Linked DNA regions of Canis lupus familiaris. The protein of the gene in region 1 interacts with the protein of each later gene in a pairwise test. Links are inferred from orthologs where the notes say so. Each region holds a gene or a part of one and is shown on either strand. Other genes may lie near its edges.

What was found.
Region 2: the proteins of FHL5 (region 1) and CREM interact in a two-hybrid assay, tested with the Homo sapiens proteins (2 studies listed by BioGRID). The link is inferred for Canis lupus familiaris from reciprocal best matches to the Homo sapiens genes FHL5 and CREM.

Annotation. Positions count from the first base shown.
Region 1 is NC_049233.1:55,287,502-55,291,956, forward strand, and holds the start of FHL5 (four and a half LIM domains protein 5), read left to right. Parts: upstream 1-1,514; 5' UTR 1,515-1,685; intron 1,686-2,272; 5' UTR 2,273-2,294; intron 2,295-3,056; exon of another isoform or gene 3,057-3,081; intron 3,082-4,455. UniProt on the Homo sapiens protein: May be involved in the regulation of spermatogenesis. Stimulates CREM transcriptional activity in a phosphorylation-independent manner.
Region 2 is NC_049223.1:1,973,213-1,976,443, reverse strand, and holds the end of CREM (cAMP-responsive element modulator), read left to right. Parts: intron 1-1,940; coding exon 1,941-2,085; 3' UTR 2,086-2,510; downstream 2,511-3,231.

The DNA.
Region 1 (4,455 bases):
TTCTGCAAAAAGCATGTATCAAATTATAAATTTGATAAACTGATATTTTAAAATATTGTTTTACAGTGTCATGTAACAAAATGATAGAAGGGGACCAAACTGAGGCAGATACCAATCATTTTAGGACTGATAAAGTAATCCAAGTGAGAAATATGAGGACCAGAATGCAGGGACAATGACAAATTTGAGGGAGGTCTAACGAAGTAGCACCAGCAGAAGTTGGGGATGGGGATGAATGAGGTTGGTGGAGAATGAGTGAGGACAGTCTAAGATGATGGCTTGGATGACTCTGTCATACCCTGAGAGAGGAACTCCAGCAGACCAGCAGGTTTGGAGTGGGGTGAAGAAGGTGGTTTGTTAGGGACTTTCCAGTTTGAGGTGCCCGAGGACCTGAAGACAAAGGCCAACAGACAACCGGATATAGGTCTGGGATCTTAGTGATAACGATTGAGAGTACAGGTGTGGGAGTCCTATCATTACTAATGGTCTCCTTAAGGAACGCAATGGTCAGTGCACAGAGAGGCACACTCAACTGTGGAGGAAGCTCTGGGGAAGGGTGAGATGAATAAAGGGAGAGGAGGCTCGGGATGGTGAGCGCAAGGAGGAAATCAGTGCAACTTAGTGAACCAAGGGCAAATTTCAAAGAAGAAACAGACGTATCCAGAAATGAGAAATTTCAGGTAAGCTTAATGACAGTGCCCTTGAGAGTGCCGATTAAGACCTTTTGATGAACTTCATCATGAAGCTTTTTGGTGAAGTGGTCCAGGTGGAAGACCTCTGGAACTGTCTGAGGAGGAAACAGGAGGATTAGAAGTTTTATCAGTGAATGTAGATCACCCTCTTAGGGAGCACAGGCGTAAACGAGGGCAATGGCCCCATAATTAGCTGGGAACATATGCAATTTTATATCTCCAGGACTCCACTTCCTCACCTATGAAAGGATAAAAATAATGCCTGCAATAGTATCATGAAGATCAGAATCTATTACTAGTTGAACATACTTGTGTCCTTTTCACTGCATCAATCTGTGGTTGCTGCTCACCAGTTTTTGTTTTTTTTTTTTTTTTCGTATCTTAATCATCAAATTCAGGTGAAGAGCAATGCACACAGTCAACCGGTTTTGCATTTCCCTAACTCAAGGTATTTTCTATTGTATATACCTGAGTTCGATCTCATAAAATATTAGTATATACTCCCATTAGCACTTTGAATAAGAACAGCTTTTGTCTGGGAATAAACGAACTTAAGGCAGAACATTTCTTCTCTCACCTCATCTTACAAAACGAAGAGACAGCCTCAAGTAGAGTCCAGGAGCCAACGTCATTTGCTTTATGGATCAAATTGACCCACGTATTCTGGATTAGTTCAAGATTCAAATATTTCTTTAGATCCAACTCTCGAAATCTCTATCCCCTTTTTATTTTTTTAATTGAAGATTTCATAAGACCAAGTCTCTGCTTAAATGAAGTCACACAGCCATGCCGTGACGTAACAATTGTTGCCAGCTCATAGGGCAATAGGCAGAAGCAGGTAACGGTGAGTCCACAATGCAGGTTCAGGAAGCAGGTAAATACCTGGAGTTATTCTAGTCAAATCCAAGGCTCAAAGTTCCCAAACTTCCCAAGAAGGCAGTGATAGGGGCCACAACCCAGGGCTTCTCTTTCAAGCTACCAAAAATTCTGCAGGTAAGAACATGGGGCCTCCTCTCTTTCCAGATGGTTCAACCAGAAAACTCTGTACTGCAACCATTTCTAACCTAAAAGATAGGTTCAGAGAGTTATCAGAAAACAAAACAAAAAATATTTTTTAATCAAGGAAAAAGAAAATACAGCATCTTTTTGAAATTTTTTAAAAATTTAAATATGCCCTTAATTTAGCCTAGGTAGTGGAAATTTGAGCATGTATATGAGTTGTCTGTATATGTACTTTGTATTTTAGACTTTTTGGAGCTTATCCAGATACTCCAAATACTAATTTTGGCAGGATTTCCCTTTAAGGATATCCTGCAGAGAATTTGTTACAATTCAAAGTAAAAATTGACAAGGAGTGCTTTTTCAGCCCAGTAGGAGTCAGCTATGTGCATATCACAAGACTTGGAGGAAACCCACTCACCCTCCTATTTCCTTCTGCAAAGCTGAAAAGGCTGCAATTGGGAGGGACCCTCAGATAGCTCTGGTGGTCCATTCTGTTCCTTTTGGACTTGACATTTAAATGTGCTGGAGGAAAAAAAATAATCATCACATATTCTCCTTCCATACTCTTTAAACCACAGGAAAAAGCAGCCTCAAGAAAAAGTAAGTTTTGTTTTCTTTTCCGTAATGTTTCCTTTGTGTTTCTTTAGATGGTATTTCAGCTTTAATTTTTTTTTTTTAAGTATGAGACATTCTTATAGACTTTCTAGTGACTGCTTATGAGAAAATGTTTCCTTGGCAAGTTAAGTGCGTATGTCAAAGTTGTTCAGAAACTTTTCAAAAGTCAGTTGAGCCAGCAGTTGTCAAATTTTATAAGCTGAGTTTTTCAGATTTCTCATTTCAATAATATGTATGCGGAGGCCGCATAGTGGTCAGATAACTCTTTAGAGTTGCCTCCTATGTTATGAAAATGGTCTTTATACATGGGGGTATACCTTTGTTGCCATAAAAAGGGGGTGGCAGGATTCTGGGGACTTATTTGGCTTAATTTATTTAAATGACTAACTTTATTACTGCAGTTATTTTATGGCTGAGTCTATATATCCAGAGTACATTTGAAATCACTTACAGTTTTTAAGTGAGTTAGTGAGAATCCTGCTATCGTCAAGAAAAATCCACCTACTTTCCAGATGCAGGCTTAAAGACCGTACCTAATATGAGGTTTTCGAAGACTGCAGTGAAATAAATATCTGTGTGTCTGACCAACACAAATACATAATGTGTTATAGGAATCTAAAGCTTTGCTTTTTTTTTTTTTTTTTTTAATTATCCATGAGAGGCACAGAGAGAGAGGCAGACACAGGCAGAGGGAGAAGCAGGCTCCCTGAGGGGGACTCGATCCCAGGACCCGGGATCACGACCTGAGCCAAAGGCAGATGCTCAACTCCAGGTATCCCAAAAGCATTGCTTCTTGAAGCAAACAGTGTTACTTCAGCAAAAACACGCATCCCACATGTTTACACTTTCTCCCTCACCAGTTTTTAGTCAGGCCCTCTTTACTGTCTGTCAGCCATTTGAAAAGTGAATGCAACCCCTCAGCTGTCAGTTTGAGGTTCAAAAATGTGGAAACTAAAAAAACATCATTAGTAAAATGTGTAATCCTTATAAATAAAACGTAAGAAAATCCTCAAGTCATTTTAGCTGTCATTTCACATCCACAATATCATCCTGTATAAATGCTAGCATTTTCATTAGCGAAGGCTATAGATTAATATTTAACACAAATACTGCGAACATGTGTCAAACAAGGTATTTCGTAACATATTTGTTATGATATATGCCTGCAGCCACGATCCAAATTGTTTGATGGGGAAGGTAAACTCCGATGTCTGTTTTCCACACTTGCTCTATTTATTTCCACATGTTCTCATTAGTTGCCAATTCCCAGCCTGTCCTACCTAAGAGCAGCACATTTGCATTTTAATGTCACATCACCTCACTGACAAGTTTACCTCTCATTTTTATTATACTTGCCAACAACGTTTTGAAAAAAGGTGGATTAATTTGGGTTCCTTAGGTGAGCCTCGTCACTTTCTACTGTAATATTGAAAATAAATGTTCTTCTAGAACACATTGGAAGAACTTTGATTTGTTTTTTATGTTTTCAATCTAGGAAACATGATTCTTTAGAATTGAAAACCAGATACTTGGGTTCACATGGGAAGTTCTGAGTCAGATGTCAGTTAAACTAACATGTATTTCCGTGTTCTTGTAATTGTCTTTTTCCTCTCTGATTGTCATCATTTTTCTTGGCTACCTTTTGATCCCCTGGAAATGATCAGTTTGAGCATTTATCTATCTCCACAGACTACAGATGCCCTTAAGAATCTGACAAAACAAAACAACAAAAATGCCTATTGCAAATAGATTTTTTAATGACATTTGTGGGGTTGATAGACTCCTGAAATCTGCCCTCAGCTATTCTCTGGGGTCCTGATTATGAACCACTGTTTTCTGTGAAGCCAGAAACCTCAGCTTCAGGCATACCTTGGTGCCAGTGGGGGGGGGTTCACCAAATCTTTAAAAAGATTAAGGTGGAAATACACCTCAACTGTCTCTCTAAACTCTCCTCATCCAAAGACAGGTATGGCTAAGGTGACGATTTTAGATTAAGGGTTAATTTTTAAAGCAGGTGCTTAGTTCATTCATGGCCATACTGTGTGTCATGGAAATAAAAGTGGAGTATTCAAGTAGTAGAACAATTCCTTTTGTAGACAGCCAGGCTTAGGATGGAAGGGTGATAGGATTAACCCACTGAAGACCC
Region 2 (3,231 bases), on another chromosome or scaffold:
CCTCTCCATGCTGAGGATATATCCAGACACATGCAAGGCCTGAAAACTGAGCTATTAATAGAAGAAACAGGTGTTTTCCATAGCTGGGAAGTACTTAAGAATGTACCATCTACTGGTGTGATCATTTAAAGTTTTGGCTTGGAACTTTGGTAACGTGCCCATTCCCACATGGGATGTGAGTTATGATATTTACAATAAATAGTACACCTTGGTATAGAAAATAAAAAGATAAATATCCCACAGCACTGCTATCAGATATGTAAAATTTCATTTGATAGTAACTTGTTTTGTAAAATTATTATCTTTCTTCCAGATCTAGAATTTAGTAAGATTCAATCTTGAAAACCTTGGTATTCAATCATGAAAACCTAGGTATTTTAGCTAATAACTAAATGTATTTTAGTTCCTTTGTAGAAGATTGGCAAATTTATGAGCGTGCTTGGATTTATTCTCAACATTTCCCTATGCATAATTTAGATTAAATCAACCTGTATTTATCAGATTCTGTTCACTTTTTACATCTTTTAATTTTTTTGTTAACTAGTTGAGAAGTCTGAGAACTTTGTGAGTTCACAGGGCGAGTGCATTGTTCTTGGCTAGGAAGTAGGGGTTGATCTTTTCCTGCAGTTCACTGGGATTTCAAGGTCTTTTTTTCTGCTGACACTTGGTCCCATGTAGAAAAAAAACAGATAACCAGTTGTTAGTCAACTATCCTAAAAATAAAACAGAATTGGCCAAGTCTGTTGTGCACATCACTCTTGGTTCAGAATTGCAGCAGTGCAAGCTGGCATTATAGTTACTGGCATTTAGACGTCCAACATGACTCTTGTTAATATATGTTTATCTCTTTCAATGTAGGCTTTTTTGATATGAAGCATACCCCAAAGGCAGTTATTTTCAACTGACTCCTCCAAAAGAACACTGTTATCAGAGGGTATATTCTATAGAGGAGTTAAATGATGTAGTTGCTCCCCCTCCCATCCTGAAAAAAAAAGGAGAAAGAGAAAAATGTTGGCTGTATTTATCATTTTTTGGTGGGGTTATGCGTAAAATGACTGACTCATCTCATCTGTGTATTTGTGTTTGTTGCTTCAGCCACTCTGTTCCTTCCTCTGGGCACATCTACAGTGCTTTAAAGATCCATATAGTGGGTAGTAAATGCACGTGATTGGAAAAGTCTTGAAATATACTGTTGAGTTATGTAGTAGCTTCCTTGCCAAAGTTTTAATTGTGGTGTTCTCACTTCATGTGTTTAAATTATCCAAATAATATCGGGTGTTGTGTTCTGTACCCTCCCTTCTTCCTTTCCTTAATTTTCAGAATCAGAGTCCATTTCATTTTGGTTTTTGAAAATGTGTGTGTGACTTGCTGACTGTTGTCTTTATCCAGGTTGTTTTCTAGCCAATAAGCTGCTCCTTGCAGTTGTAGTTGAGTTTATTTGTTTTACTGAGATTCAGTCTTGAAGAAACAAAATCTCCAATATGGACATTTCAAGTTTCTGAGGATTGATTTTTCTAACATTTTTGACCAAATAAAGTTAACTCATTGTGATGGAATATGTGGCCTTTTGTGGACAAAGATAAGTAAGAGAATTGAAAGGATCTGTAAATGTTTTTGTAGAAATTCCACTTGGGGATGTGGTCCTATTGTTTTAGGTGACTAAAAACCATTCTGGTCACTGTTACCATGGAATGTGTGCCCTAAGAAAACACCCATTTACAACGAAGGATGGACACATTGATCATGCTCTCAAGTCTTTCCTGTTGTTCTAAACTAATTTTACAAAAGGCATGTGCTTGCTTACGTTTGTTGTGTGGCTTTGTACAAACCTTCCCTGGCATTGATTGGCTGTTGAGTTTGGGGGGCAGAAGTTCATTTGAGCCAGTCTGGGCTGTGCTGAGAGGGTGTTCCTATAGTCATTTGCCTTGTATTGGTTCCAGGGAAGCTGCCCGGGAGTGTCGCAGGAAGAAGAAAGAATATGTCAAATGTCTTGAAAATCGTGTGGCTGTGCTTGAAAACCAAAACAAGACTCTCATTGAGGAACTCAAAGCCCTCAAAGATCTTTATTGCCATAAAGCAGAGTAACTGTCTTTGACTTGGACCTTGTTTACTGTGAACTCTAATCAAGGCAGGAGATGCAGCAATTCTACTAATTGCCATGTGGACTTGTGGAAGGGACACTTGTGACCCTTGAGAATCCAGTGTGGCTTAGTGTTTGACATTGAATTGGGTATGCTGTTCCAAGATTTGGAATGCAGCCATGATCAGATTTACCAAGCTTACTTCAGTCTGCTTGTCAATAGCACGCAAAAAAAATGTTTTGTTTGCCCTCTTGCTTCTACTTTTTTTCAGGGAAGCTGCTAAAGAATGTCGACGTCGAAAGAAAGAATATGTAAAATGTCTGGAGAGTCGAGTTGCAGTGCTGGAAGTTCAGAACAAGAAGCTCATAGAGGAACTCGAAACTTTGAAAGACATTTGCTCTCCTAAAACAGATTAGTAGAAATATTTAACTATGAACTGATTACAACATGTACAGTTGCTTCTGAAGGCAATACAATATTATAGCCAGCAAGAATTATGGCTTTTTTCCTTTGTATCATTCACCGTATTCTCTAACCTCTGACATTCCTAAAATGCCTCACTGTAGTTAACTCTTAGCTATAACTTCGATTTTTTTAAAAGAGACAAGCTGTAAAAAAAAAAAAAAAAAAAAAAAGTATGTAACAAATTCTTAAAATGCAATATTTGTAAGACTTGTTCCAGTGCCACATATTTGCAGTACCCAACCTCTGTGTCATGAATAGTGTCCTATGCAATAAAATTTTTTGCGGGTCTTTAAAAATCATTTTAGGAAAGGATGATCAAAGATAATGCACCCAGCAGTACAATAAAAGCAAACCACAAAAAAATACCTCGGGAAAGAATTGAAAGAAAGAATTGAAAGAATCTAGTGACATGCCTATATGAAAATAAGAGCCTATAAATGAATTTATGGCATTTGCAGATTTTTATATTAGTTGCTTTGTAAAAAAAAAAATATTGTATTGCTGTCCTTGAATGCCATAGTTGAAGAGAGTTTTTAATAGAACCATGCTGGTTACACTTTATAGTGTTTGGTGCTCATTTAACTATCTGAACATTTACTACGGTTTTTACTGTATTGTGTAATATAAAAGATCTTACAGAAGTTCTTAGTGTTGGTCTGAATGAATGAACCTAATGAAAGTTACA